Lepisosteus oculatus: one gene and its partner. The protein of the gene in region 1 interacts with the protein of each later gene in a pairwise test. Links are inferred from orthologs where the notes say so. Each region holds a gene or a part of one and is shown on either strand. Other genes may lie near its edges.

Region 1 (7,058 bases):
CTTTGCTTAAAGATAAGATTCTTGAAGTCGCTGTTCAATTCTTTTGCATCTAAAAGGGAAGGTTAAGGTGGCAGATACACTTAAGTTATCACATTCAGAACATAAGTTGCTCAAGGAATGTGGAGTCTAGAAATCTCTGAAACACAGAATACATAACTAATAATTCTGCCAGTTTGCAACTAAAGATTTATACATTCATTCCCAAGTGGAATACAGGGTGCACAGCAAAGATATTAGGAATGTTTACAGTCATCGACTGGTTAAAGCACAAGCATACTGCTAAACTCTGAAAACACTAGTTCATTGCATAGCCCTCTACACTGTACAAGAACCAGACTCAAGTACTTTAACAGCACTCTGTGGCTATTTCCAGTCATAAAAAAATCAAATAAAGCTGATCACTGCAGTATGAAATCACCATGGCTTACAGTTTAAGAGATGTTTGTCCAAAGCTATTGTTTTATTTATTTTCAAAAATAAAGTAAATGAATTAAAAAACAGACCTTTATAAATTACACAGGGTGGAGTGGGATGCACAAGACGTGGCATGCTCTGAAGGGAAAAGGCATCAAAAGACAGCAGTGTCCAATTATGCACTGGTAACAAAGCAACATTGAAAGGCCATTCAAATGTTAGCCACAACCAAAACATACAAGAATGTAAAGCTGTGTGGATCACTCCTAAGAAGGGGTCAAACACTACTCTTCCTAACCTGTTTGCTGTAAATATACTGAAGGCCAAAGTCTTGAGTCGAAAGAATCCACTACTCTTCAGGACAGAAAACAACTGAGGGAATAATTATGAGGAAAGGCTGCCTATTCACAAGGAAGATAGGGGGGGGAAAAACAAAGACCTTCATCTACAGCAGAAAGAAAAACTGTCAAGACTATTGTACCCATTGTCCATGTGCCTACAATTCCAAGCCCAAGCACTGACAATGGCACTTGACTATGTCAATACGTATAAGGAATCACAGAGGTGTTGCTATCCTGTGTGCATTCTGTAAGCCCATTTATTGTTACACTTAAAGAATTGCCTACCATCACCATGTATGACAGCTTTATGAATGAAAAACGAGACATGACAACATGAAATGTACCTTATGACTTCTTCATGCTATAGCTAGCACATCTTGAGAGATCTTACCTGTTCCACTTACTTGGCCCTTGTGTCTGATATCACACTTAAGTTTGGCTTTACTAGCATAGCTGTTTTTGTCATTGAATTTTTTTGTTGATAGAAAGCGATCATCACGGAAGAGAGTATAACAGAATTGTAATAGTTTCCCTGCATGTCTGCAAATGTCTAACGAGGCAAAACAAATGTTGAAATGGGCAAAGAAAAGTTTGTAGGTGATACCAATTAATCAAGATGTGCCTGAACAGGCTAAAGAATACAAAAACAAATTAGTTCAGAAAGTCTGGTATCTATTATTACAAAACTAAAAGAGATAAGCGAGTGCTTTCATTTCTGACACTATTAATACATCAATGTCAGCATTTCATATTTTCCCAAATGACTTATTTGAATGTTGAAAAGAAAGCCCTACTATTTTTACCTATAGTGGTTTATCAAGTTTCATTCTACAGTATGTGCCTATGAAGACTCATCCAAGTAATGTTATAAGCAGAGAATACAAGGTGACTTCATTTCTATGGGGCTGTTACCTTAAAGAACCTAAAGAGCAATTTTCCATCTACATGTAAAACTGAAGATGAGAATTAGACATAGCAACTCAGTTTTTGAAAAGAGCCTACAATTTTAATTTTAATGCTCAAAAAAGAAAAAGCCATTATTATTCAGCCTTTCTCTGACAGAATACCATATCAATTTAAACTAAAACAGCAATAAAATCTTCACAAGATTAAAATTAGTAGCTCATATAGATATTGGTGTGACATACAATACTTTAGGCTATATAAGAGTGTTGTTAGTATTATAAATATGGAATAGAGTGTCATACCTGTACTTAAATCAGGGTGTGTTTTAATATTTATCTAATTCAGCAAGGATAGGGCTGATATCAATAACAAAAAAGACACTAAAGTTTTTTTCTCTTCCAAAATGTACCCATACCAATATGTTTATTAAACATTTCTGGCAGAGCTATGCTTTGACAATAAATTCATCACTATTAACCGTTTTCGATTCTACATTAATGACTATGCACACCCCATTACCATTACTGTGGATAACGTGTGGTTGTTGTGGCTGTCAGCAGTCACTGAGCAAAAAAATGATATCGATAAAAAATTGCGATTTGGGCATGATGCTTATTATGGGACAAAGAACTTAATGTCGTTTCTATTTTTCCTGTGGAAGTTGGAAGACTATACAGCAAACAGCAACGTCAATGCACACTGAAGCGATACCGTGAAGACAATGGACACATGCAAGATATCTAAACCACTACAAGACGCAATAACACGTTTAAAGTTACAGCCCCCTTATCGTCAAACCGGCAGCTATCTGCCATGAATTATTCGTGCGTTTTTCCACAGAGAGAACGCTGGCAGGCAAGAGCCCCTCGAAGGCGGAATCTTTACAAGCGGCTCCGAAACGCCATCATCACCATCCTATTGAATCCCGTCTATTGTACTGCTGTAGAGTCTCAGCCACAAATAACAAAGCCACTGAGCTTAACGCGGAGCTCAACACTAAAACCATCTAAAAGCACAAGCACCTAATGATGGGAATTTTACTTCAGAGGTCTTCCAGACCCCTTTGCCCAGGGAATGTATTTGCTTTTATTAAAACACGGCTTGATATCCATCTGCTCAGGACGATTTGTGAATGAACCGAAAACACACCAACGCCAATTACAGTACCCCCCCACCACCACCTCCAGAAGCTGCCACACCAACTTTATACTCAGTTCCTTAATTTTCTTTCCCTCTTACCTTGGTGTAGCTCCGGTCGGATCGGGCGGGGAGGCAGGTATGCAAATAACCCCTGTGCAGTTCAGAACGTTTATATAAAATACTTGACAGAGGGGAAGAAAAATCCAGTTTTATTCCAGGTCCTTTCTTTACAGGCCCTGCAACTCCACTCTCGTTCTCTCTCTCTCCCCCTACCTTTAGCTCAGCCCACTGTCTTGCTCAATGACGTCAGCCCTGCCATAGGACTGAGAAAGCTGGAGCACCGAAGCAACTGCGCTGGGAAGCCGCTCTGGACAGAGACGGGCTGTCTCTCTTACATCGCCAGTGCTCGCTGCTGCCAATTGCTGTGTTAACTACATTATATGTCCGGACGAGTACGCAGACTTTAGTGTCAGCTTAGCTAGCACTTCTTAAGAATAGATGGGCACACGGCAGGAACGATCATATTAATTAAATGAAAAACTAAAAAGAGGACACCAACTGAGACATACAATTCGTTGAGTAAACTAGCTGGCTTTATGCTGAAACTGAAATGCTCTTTTAAGGCTTTTAAGACGAAACATTGAAAATAATGATACAGCAAATATTGCGCATTCAAATACCGTCACTCACGGTATTTACCATACGTTATGTATTTTTTCAAGAGAAAGTGTTTTGAAATGTTTGAAATACAGTGATGAAAATTGTCAAGCGGAAATAAAACCTCGGATACCTCTTATGCATAGATCAAATGGCTATAGTTGTTCCCCGTTTCCTTACAGGAACAAGACATTTCCTGATTATTAACTTGATTGCCTCTATTTTTAAAGGGTATGGGGGGCAGAAGCAGTGAGGCGCATACATGCTAATATAAAGTAATTTCCTACTAGACCCCTGGAAGTATGCAAAAATGTATATTAAATAATACTATATTGCAATTATATTAAATTATGTATATTTTAAGCAGAATTTGCATATATAATATTTTTAAATTATCTATTTGAAAATTATATAATAGAATAAAATACCTCTTTTCTAGATCCTGTTCTCTTTTAATCATTGTATAAAGTGCTTTCTGCACAGACTACAGCTTTCCTTTCTTGCTTTTGACTTTCTTTTGGGATGAATCTGCTCCGTATTTGTAACTTTGTGTTGCCATCCACTCTACTGAATCTATGTCATTTGTATCTACAGCAAAAACATTTCTTTAAATTTCAGGTTGACTCTTTCCTTTATGTTCAGTTTTTCCGAAATTGCCAATCTTTCTTTTGGGCTTAGCAGAATTTCTAAATATACTTCAAAACGTACATATTATGATCACATTTCTGTGATGGTTTTCCTCACTCTGTTTCGATTGTTTGAAAACACTAGATCAATACAGGCATCACCTTGGGCTTCTGATAATCTGAGTATGGAATCATTCATTACCCATTTCTACCATTGCAGTTTCAGCTACTGACCTACCTGGTGGTTTGTCCAAATCTACACGGGGAAAGTTAATATCTCCCACAATAACAACTTCTTTTAAACATATTTTCCTGAATTAACTGCAAAAGACTGAATAGTTGTACATTCATATAAGTTGTATATGAATTTGGCAGTCAGGAGCATGTTCCTACCCACTCATGTTATATTCTTCATTACCACTCAGTCCGCTGTGCTGATTTTGAGCATCTTGAATACTTGTAGAAGTTCCCTCATATTCTTCTCTGTTTAAAACTAAAAATGTATTTCAATCTGTCAGTGTAGGATATTGCTTATTCCTTTATGTCCTGGAATGCACCTCTATTGCTCTTCTCTTGAATGATTCCAGATTGTGACCACAATTGTACATAACATTGTACAAAAAAGACCACAGTAGTGCATTGTACAATTTTAATGTGACATCCCTTGACTTGAATTCTGTACTTTTGACTATACAATCTAAAATTTTGTTTGCCTTTTTATTATTTACCAGCACTTTCTGGAAGATGTAAACAATGTGTTGACAAAAACACCAAAGTCCTCTTCATAAGTAGCTTCGTCTAGCTCATTGGGTCCTATTGTTTTTACTTTTATACTAACTGCATGCAAAACCCTGCACTTCTGTACAGTAGATTAAATGCAATCTGCCAAGTGTTTTCCCAGTTTTGAATTAAAGCAAATTCTTTGGGAATTCCATTTGCTGATTCTACAGTGTTATTCTACTATGTACATTCTACAGTGTTAGCTAATCATTCTAATCTGATATTATCTGAAAGATAGTTTACGAATTATACCATAATCATTAATATAAATTAAGAATAGCTGTGGTCCTGGTAAATACTGTGGTACTCCACTAATTACATCGCCCCAATTTAATCATTTAGTTTTAATCATGTTTATTTGCTAATTATTAATCAGTTCTCAATCCAGTTGCATACATTTCCTTGCAGGACTTCAGCCTGTAATTTCAAATTAAATCTGTGATAAGTAACTTTATAGACAGCTTTCTGAAAATGTAAATACACCATATCTTATGCCCTGTATCTGTCAAAATTTCACTTAAAGGTCAATTGGTCAGTCATAGATAAACATATAGATATATAGGGAACATGTGCGTTCCTCTTAATTTTAATGGATCATTCTCTATGTCAGGCTGACAAAAAACAGGATTGCAGTTACAGCCGCCCAGCCACTATAGGCTGCTGGGCAGCCTCTAATCTTTGTAAATAGCTACACAGTGGGTGTTAATTAGGTAATTGATTAGATTTGTGTTAAAGATATTATGGTAAAGGTATTATAAAGGTAAATGTTATTATTTTAGTGGTAAAATAATATAAGAACATTTGTTTATGGCATGTTTATACTGTATATGAGTTTTATTAACCCTTTATTATATTGGATATTGCACTTGCCTGGAATGATTCAGCAGCAGTACTGTATATTTTTGTGACATTGTGACCACAATTGTATATCATATTCTAAATTAGGCCATAGTAATGTATTGTACAATTTTAACATGTCATCCCTTGATGTATAATATACACTGATTACGCATTGTATTTTTCACACCCTTTGTGGTTCTTTATTAAGTATGAAACTTATGGTCAGCTGAGCTGCTATGTCTTAATGTCACAACTTTACACAATTGAGGATACTCATTTATATATAAAAAATAGGTTATTAATAGTTATGTTTTCTATATGCTGAACTGCATTAACAATATTTGGGGTTTCACTGATCTTAAGATGAAAATGTTTTTTTTTCTATTCAAATTGATATTTTTAATTTTGTCTGCTTTTTAGTTTGAAACCATATTATATTGTATACAAATAAGGTTTCTCTGTAACTTTCTAATAAAAACATTCATGGTCAAATAAAAAAGCTCAAAAGCAATTGTGGAAGCTAGCAAGCTAATCACCAGCACTACTACCAGGTCAGCCATTGCAAAAGTTCCATCACTCACTGCAAGTGAAAATCATAAACTATAAAATCAGAAGGTAATTGTCTTTAGTATCCTTAAAAATGTTTAGTTACTTATGTAATTAATATATTAAATTGCCCCAGTAACAACAGATAGAGACCATTAAAATTGTCTTATTTCAAAACCTTAATTAATTGGTTCTCATTAAAATCAGTGAGCTCCCTCATATACTGCAGATTTAAAATGTTGTAGTAGAGTTGCAGTAGCATAGTGGAGCAGTGGTTAGCATTGCTGCCTCACATTGCTGGAGCCCTGGATTCAATTCCAGACCTGGTGTGCAGAGTTTGCATGTTCTCCCCATGTTTGCATGGGTTTCCTCTGGACCTCCAGTTTCCTTCCACAGTCCAAAAACATACCAATAGGTTAATTGACTTCTCTGAATATAAAACGTGGTGTGAGTGTGTATGTGTGTCCATGTTTGTGTTTGTGTCTCACAAAGAATGTCCATGGTACACCCCGCCTTGTACAGTTGGTTGTCAGGACAGGTTTCTGCTCCCCTGTGACCCTGAATGGGATTAAGTCATTAGAAAATGGATGGATTGTAGAATCCTGCAGTGTTAGCAGGATTGTCTATGCTAACACTGGGAGCACAGTAAAACTACAAAAACTGCAAAGAAATACTTGAAGAGCCTGCTGCATGCACGCATTACCTTTATAAACAAAGTTTGCATTCTCATTGCTGAAGAATAGGACCTGAATTGTATGATTCACTTGACAGATTGTTAAAAAAAACTCAAGGTCAAAATCCTGTACCT
Region 2 (7,191 bases), on another chromosome or scaffold:
CTCTTCTTCTTATGATTTAGATTCTGATATACTTAGAAAACTAGTCAAATTCACATAGGATACCAAAATAGAAGGATTAGCCAGCAATATAAGCTGTAAAAAAAATTCAAAAATATTTAGAAAGAATTCAAGACTATGCAAACATTTAGCAGATTACATTTAATGTAGACTAGTGCAGAGTGTTACAAGCATATAGTAAAAACCATAACATCTATTTTGTTGTAAGTATAAATGAAAACTGTACAAGTAAGAGATCATGTAGAATTCGTCATTCCATTTAGCTACTCTAGCATCAAAACACAGAAGAGCATTCAGGTACAGTACATTACCACATGTTATACTCTGACAGGCTAAAATGACAAAAAATAATTTTGTTTCAAACAGAGAATATTACAATGGAACATGGTTCAAGTATTCAAAATCCTCAAAGGCAGTGAGACCGTCAACCCAACAAACTTCTAAAGTATGAACAGTGAAATGTACACCAGAGGACACAAAATGTAAACTAGGGGGAACTGCATTTAAAATTGAGAATAGGAGACAGTTTTTACAGAAGTGGTTGTCGGTGCCTGGAAAAAGTTACCCAACTATGTTGTCTAAACCTTTGCTATCTTTATTTTATCCAACTAGTTCTTTCACTGAACAGATAAAATCAACAGCTCAATTAGCTATTGCAAACCAAAGAAGCTTACTGTGCCAAATGGTATCCTTTTGTTTGCATGGATTCAGATGTTTTTACTCCATGTTTATCTTTAGGAATATATTTCTGCATCTTTTTTAAATGATGTAGTTTTACAGCTGCAGAATTCCGGTAACCCACTTTTAGGTTTTATCTGAGTGGTGTAAAAGAAATTACTTAAACCTGACCCCGATTTGAGAAGCGTTAAAAAGATGCTACAAAGTTTAACCACAATCAGATAAGTTTTGTAAAACAACCTTTTGGCACTATGTTAAGTATAGTAATAAATATATTAAAAATGCAAGGGAAGTGCCAATATCTTTTATCACAACATCAGAAAATAGCAGGTGCTTCTATCTTTAGAAACGGTTAAAAACATTTAATAGATCACAAGTTAACAAAATCAAAAGGAGACTGTGCTGCTCTAATTACACACTACCATCTTCTTAAATCTCAAGAATTACAGAAGAGCATTTGTAATCATGGGTCTTGGACAAGTGTTTCATACATCTTTCTATATTTTCTTTCTAACAATTATTGAGTATGAAACAACACGGACAAAAATAAGTCTTCAAATCAACCTTAAAAATCAAGCTTAAAATCTTGTACCTAAACTGATATAACATTTTTATGTTTTGTGTTTCAGTTCTTTGCTTCATTATTTTTCATGAGTAAATAGGTTTAGATCACATGAAAAAGTAGAGGACTGTTTTTTTAATTGTGTTAAAATGCTTTACTGGCTGCAAAATTAATACAAAAATGTTGATTATATTGTATTGCCTTCATTACATATTGCTATATATTAATACTCCACAGGTAAATTGATTTTTTTTAATAAGCAAATAAACAAAAGCCATTGATATTGGACATTTGCATTTAATTCCTCAAATGTATTAAAATTGGTCCAATCAAATCCATTTTTTCCATCAACAAAAATCACCATTGTTATTTATGTGTTTTGTGTTACATGTGCCTGTACACAACTCACATACTTCCATTAATGGATATATATATATATTTAATTTGTAGAACATGAGCTCATCATATGAAGCAAAGGAAATACTCTGGTGGTATGTTATTGAATTTTAGTATTCAATGTATTGACAAGTATTGTCAAGTTAAAAACAGGTGGTACAGTGGTTATCATTGCTGATAGCCACACAGTGCTGGGGCCCTCGCTTCAATCTGGACCTTGTGTGCTATCTGTGTGTTTGTATGTTCTCCCTGTGTTTGTGTAGGTTTCCTCCAGGTGCTTCGGTTTCCCCCCACAGTCAAAAACATACTGGTTAATTGGTCTCTGGGAATACTGGCCCTACTGTGAGCCCAATTGTGTGCATGTCTGTGTCTATGTGTGTGCCTGTTGCTTGTTGAGCTTTGAAAGAAGTGGGAAGAAAATAGATAGATGAAAAGTTACAAATATTTTACAATACAATATCCTCTCAATCACTTCTGTTAAATCTTTATTGTTTAACTTTAATAAGCATTTTACCATGTTGCATAAAATTAAAATGCTTATTTTTAAAAAAAGTTTTTCAGTGGTCCTACAATGTATGATGATTCTGATTGACTGTAAGAACAATCACCTTCATCAATTATGTGTTCTGGCAATGCGATGCTAAAACCAGGCCTATGTCCAACTTTAGAACACACCTACTGCCATTTCATTGTACTTCATAAAAGTACTTCTATGATTATGATAATATGGTTGGACACAATTTTAATAACAAACCTAAATATTGATACCTACAAAGCATTTGTGGTAAAAGAATCAGCACATACTGTATAATACACCACACTCTATAACAAAACAGGTTGAACAAGTCCTTGAAACTTCCTCATATGTCTCCTATCATAACAGGAAACACCTGATACAAAGGTACTTTTATTTCTCTTTTGTGAACCTAAAAATTAATGCATACTGTTGACCTGAATCTCTTGTTATAGCGAATCACCACAAGCGTTTTCTTTTAGCAATAACAATTGATTATACTAATATTTAGAATAACAGCACAATTTTCAGCTCCGGTAAAGCTTATCCGCGAGCGTCAAAATCAGCACGTGGTTGTGTTTCAGTGCGTTAAAATGATGTTTTCTGCAAATAGTTTTAAAAAAATGTACTCCGATGTTTTGTCCTGACCGTTCTTCTTATTCTAAAGCGTCTTGTCTGACGTATTAAAAATGCTTCAGAAGAATATAACAGCAAATATAAACTTGAGAAACTCAGCATTTTGCAGAACACGAATTGTTTTATTTTATCTAATTTACGTTCGGAAACTCAGAAACGGGGAACCAAAACATTAAGAATGGAAAAAAAACTCAAAAATCCGAAAGGTTAAACTCGCCTCTTCCGCATTAAAGAAATTGAAAAGTTGCTGTTTTTTACAGTTTGATCGAGCTTGGCATTGCAATGATTATATACAGTACTTGAACGGCTGCATATGCTCTGAATGTTTTCATTTCATTTGGTACGCTCAAAAGCAAATGTATGTTATCCCTGATAAATTATTATGATTAAGTGTTATCCTTACATTTAGTTAAAAAACAGCAAACGTATTATCCAATGAATCTTGAAGTCGTGATGTTTTGTTAGAACCTGTGATGCTTTGGCTCTGTAATTACTGTACTGTATAGGACTATCTCCCCAGACCATTTAATCTGAATGTCTTGTTTCCACTGAATATAAGTCCAGTGACAACTGTGTCAGTTACATTTCCTTCAGTTCTGCAAAGTTTTTTTATATGCCTCTAGATAACACGAGGATGTTAGGTACAGTAGTACATGTTAATGTTTTTTAAGTTCTCATGACTGCTCTGTTGTTAGTCCTACTTTACGCGTCGGGTGCGAAGAAGCAGTTTAAATGTAAACTTTCAAAGATGTCACATTAGGAAGTGAATTATTATTAATCACCAGTGTCTTTACACTTATAAATCGATAATTGTTGACAAGGTCGTGTACCAAAGCCTCTAGAACTTATTTCTTAACCTTACAGAACCCTAGAAACACTTTTATCTGTTCTAAAAGCTCCAGGGAATATGGCATGGTAATAGTTAAGTAATGGTATTCTTTCATATTTAAACAATTTCTCATTTTAAATTAATGAAAGTTTTTGTTGTCCTTCTTGTAGAAACCCTAATTGTACAGTAGGTCTTTCATCAAATTGCATTCATGTACTGTACCTTACTGTGTCCATGCTGTTTGAGTCATATTGGGTAGTTGAGTTCAAGCGACCGCGTTAATGGCAGACCCAGTGAATACTATTTCACAATTATTTTCATTCTACTTAAAACATCGAAATAAGAAATATTTGCGGCAGACATGTTTGTTTTCTGATGTCGATGCGTACGTAACCACATATGGAATGACTTTACAGGTGTATTAAAGTTGTTAAAATGGCTTTTTAATTCGGCGCTAAGAATACATAAGCGCAATAAGTCACCTGATTTCTGGAATGTTGCGTTAGTTACCAAGGTTGTGCTTTCTTTGCTTTTCTCTACAGGTCAAACAATCAATTGTGCAAACACTTCAGCTTCGGAGTTAATGACAGTTTTAGGAAGTGACGCTTGGTCACAGTAAGATCAGGAAACTGAAAAAGTGACTGGTTGATACTGTTATTCTCTGCGGAGCGATGGAGGGGAAGAGTCGACTTGTGAGATGAAACTTGTAAACTTTTATTGACTGCATCGAGACCGCCAGATGTGAACAACTTTACATCCAATTTACACATTTGCATAGATATAAAAGCAAATACATTTCTGAAACATGGCAGGACTGCATGTAGGGGCGAAGCTATAGAAGGTCACTGAAGCGCTCAGTTAATACAGGGAGGCTGAACCGCTGAGCAGCTCGGAGTCCAGGAATGTTTTATGTCTTTTCGACATGTCACATTCAGGTAAGTAGTTGTGATATTGTTTGTATATATTTGTAAGCACGTATCTCTATTTTGTTGACAACTTTTCTTTTTTTGTTTTTTATCATCAGTAAAAAGTTTAAACCTTTCTAATATCCAATGAATACGGAACCTAACATATATGCAAACTCTGAAGTACAGTATATTTGCAGCGAACCAGTGCTTAGAATTTCCATTATAGTGTAATACTATACAGTAAGCATCATTGTTTTGGAAAAGAGGAATAAATAAAAGAAGCTTATCTGATCTGCTTCTTGCATGCACTTCATTAGAGTCACTGAAATGTAACTGGAATCATAACCATAATTTCTAAGTAAAATAAGTTGTCCACTCTGCAAAACAGAAATGAGGATCTGAATTTCCAAGTAAATACAAAAGTGGTAGTTACAGAAAGACACGAAATATTGAAGTGTTCTGTAAAACATACTTTGCAGGTGCCACGCACATTTAGAGATTGAATGTGTTATGTTTTTGTGAACAAGCACAATCAATATTATCATCTTCTTTAAATTTAAGAAAACCCTATATACTGTATTGTACTCTCATTTTATGTAATGGAAAATTCATTAATAGCATCTTATAAAAATAATCTCTCATCCTAAACTGAAGAGTTTTATAAAATGTGCTATTTTTCTTTAACAATTTGAAGACTATGCTAGAAAAACACTGTAAAAAAGGGACAGTTTACAAGCTGCTTGAATTGTTGACTTTTGAAAGTAACAGTTGTTTGGATTTTATGAAGCAAATATTGTAAAGAAACATATGTCTTCAAAGAGAATGACATATTACCTGTAACAAATGTACTATTATAGGTCCCTTAGGGGTCAAATTCTGTCCCATTTTTATGCTTACACTAAGCTTAGCTGTAAGCATTTAGAACTCAAACAGAAATGAGAATTCAGACAGTTTGTGGTTTGGTACTAGTGTTAAGTTATCCTTACAAATCCTTACAGTTATCCTACTGTATAATCTTTCTTAGCATTTCTTAATATTTCTTATTCTTTAATGGATCCTTTAATAGACATATTACACTAATAATCTGAAGTCAGCTTTCTGTCTTTTTAACTCAGACATTTCTAAATTTAGACATATAGCAGCAAATATCTTAACGCACTTAATACCTTAGTTAATGGACAATTGACACAATTATTATTTAAAGTATTTAATATTTAAATGTTGCATGCACACATGCTGGTTCAAAGCAGGACTGTACTGTTATTATGGGGCTGTACCATAATTCAGTAATTTAAAATGCATAAATGCTAAATGCTTGAAATTCTTTTGCAATCCATAAAATTATTATACAACATACAGTACAACCAGGTGTTTAGATTTAAAAAAAATCACAAAGCAAATGAATGAATACTATTAGTATTTGTTGTGATGTTGGATTGTGTCATTTCTCCTTCCATTTTCCTAACTGTTCAGAATGCAGGTCTGTTTACATGTTAATTAAAATATTGTGAAGTTTCATGCTTTCAGAAATTCAGTCTTTTAAAATTGTATTAATCTATAGTTTTACCTTAAACATATTTAAGTAAAAATTTGCAGATCCAATCTAGGTATTTTGGTTGCTTCATTAGGCTTTGTTTCTGGAAACTTTTTATGAAGAACAGTGGAAAACTTGCAATTAGGAAGTGAATAAAGTTTTGATATAAATTTGGACATTTTAGACATGAAATAATAAATAATAATACTTGATATTCTGACTACATTGTAAAATGATGAACATTTACTGAATGGGCAGTTATTTTAGTATTGAAAAGTATAAAATTTGGAGTGATACATGTCTATTAATTTCATATTAATGAGACATTCAAAACATGAGCTTTAACAGCCTGTATGGAAATTAACGTGTTCAAATACAAGATATACATTTTTCCTTGTGTGTACTCTCAAGGAATTTCTCAAAAGTAAGCTAATAAAAGTAGTAGGTTTTTCTGGATACTATATGCATGTTAGTTTGCATTCATTTTAATTTATTATATTTTCCTTGCTTATGACAGATATTTGTAAAGGTTCTTTGTCTTGTGTGTAGTGTCAATATTATACAGTATGTAATTTAATTGAAAGTGTACACTTTTGTAAATGCACAATTTATTTAATATGCTTTTTTTGACAATATGTGTTTTTGACAATATCACAAAATAATAGTTTTGACTAATGGGAATAATGTTGATGTACAGTACATACTTCATGGAAGAAGAAGAATCAGGAAATAATGTTGATCTGAAATCAAAGCTCAAGTGACTTAAATGCATTTTTAAATCACTGGATTATTTAAATTTAGTGGGTGGTCACAGAATCAAAATCATTTTTCCTGTATAAACATAAGATTTACAGCTAGAGGATAGAGTTAGAGCAATTAACTGTTCAGCAATTAACCCTTTTCATTTCATTGGATCAAAAAACTTAATATATCACTGCTTAAATGAGAATTTCTTCAGTAATCGGTTACCTTTCAGAAATGAATTGCTTTGTAAAGGTTGTCCATGAAATTGTGTGAATAACTTTGATCAGATATGGTAGCAGGTTTTGCAAGGTAGTCAATAGTATTGGGACTTAACAGTAATTACTGACTTGGTTTGACTAATGTTGTGCTCCC

Evidence for each region.
Region 2: the proteins of cytoplasmic protein NCK2 (region 1) and pik3ap1 interact in binary tests that used the Homo sapiens proteins (3 or more experiments, as listed by UniProt). The two-hybrid records come from large-scale screens. The link is inferred for Lepisosteus oculatus from reciprocal best matches to the Homo sapiens genes NCK2 and PIK3AP1.

Annotation. Positions count from the first base shown.
Region 1 is NC_090710.1:24,272,296-24,279,353, reverse strand, and holds the start of cytoplasmic protein NCK2, read right to left. Parts: upstream 3,076-7,058; 5' UTR 2,901-3,075; intron 1-2,900. UniProt on the Homo sapiens protein: Adapter protein which associates with tyrosine-phosphorylated growth factor receptors or their cellular substrates. Maintains low levels of EIF2S1 phosphorylation by promoting its dephosphorylation by PP1.
Region 2 is NC_090699.1:34,468,282-34,475,472, forward strand, and holds the start of pik3ap1 (phosphoinositide 3-kinase adapter protein 1), read left to right. Parts: upstream 1-4,172; 5' UTR 4,173-4,535; coding exon 4,536-4,568; intron 4,569-7,191. UniProt on the Homo sapiens protein: Signaling adapter that contributes to B-cell development by linking B-cell receptor (BCR) signaling to the phosphoinositide 3-kinase (PI3K)-Akt signaling pathway.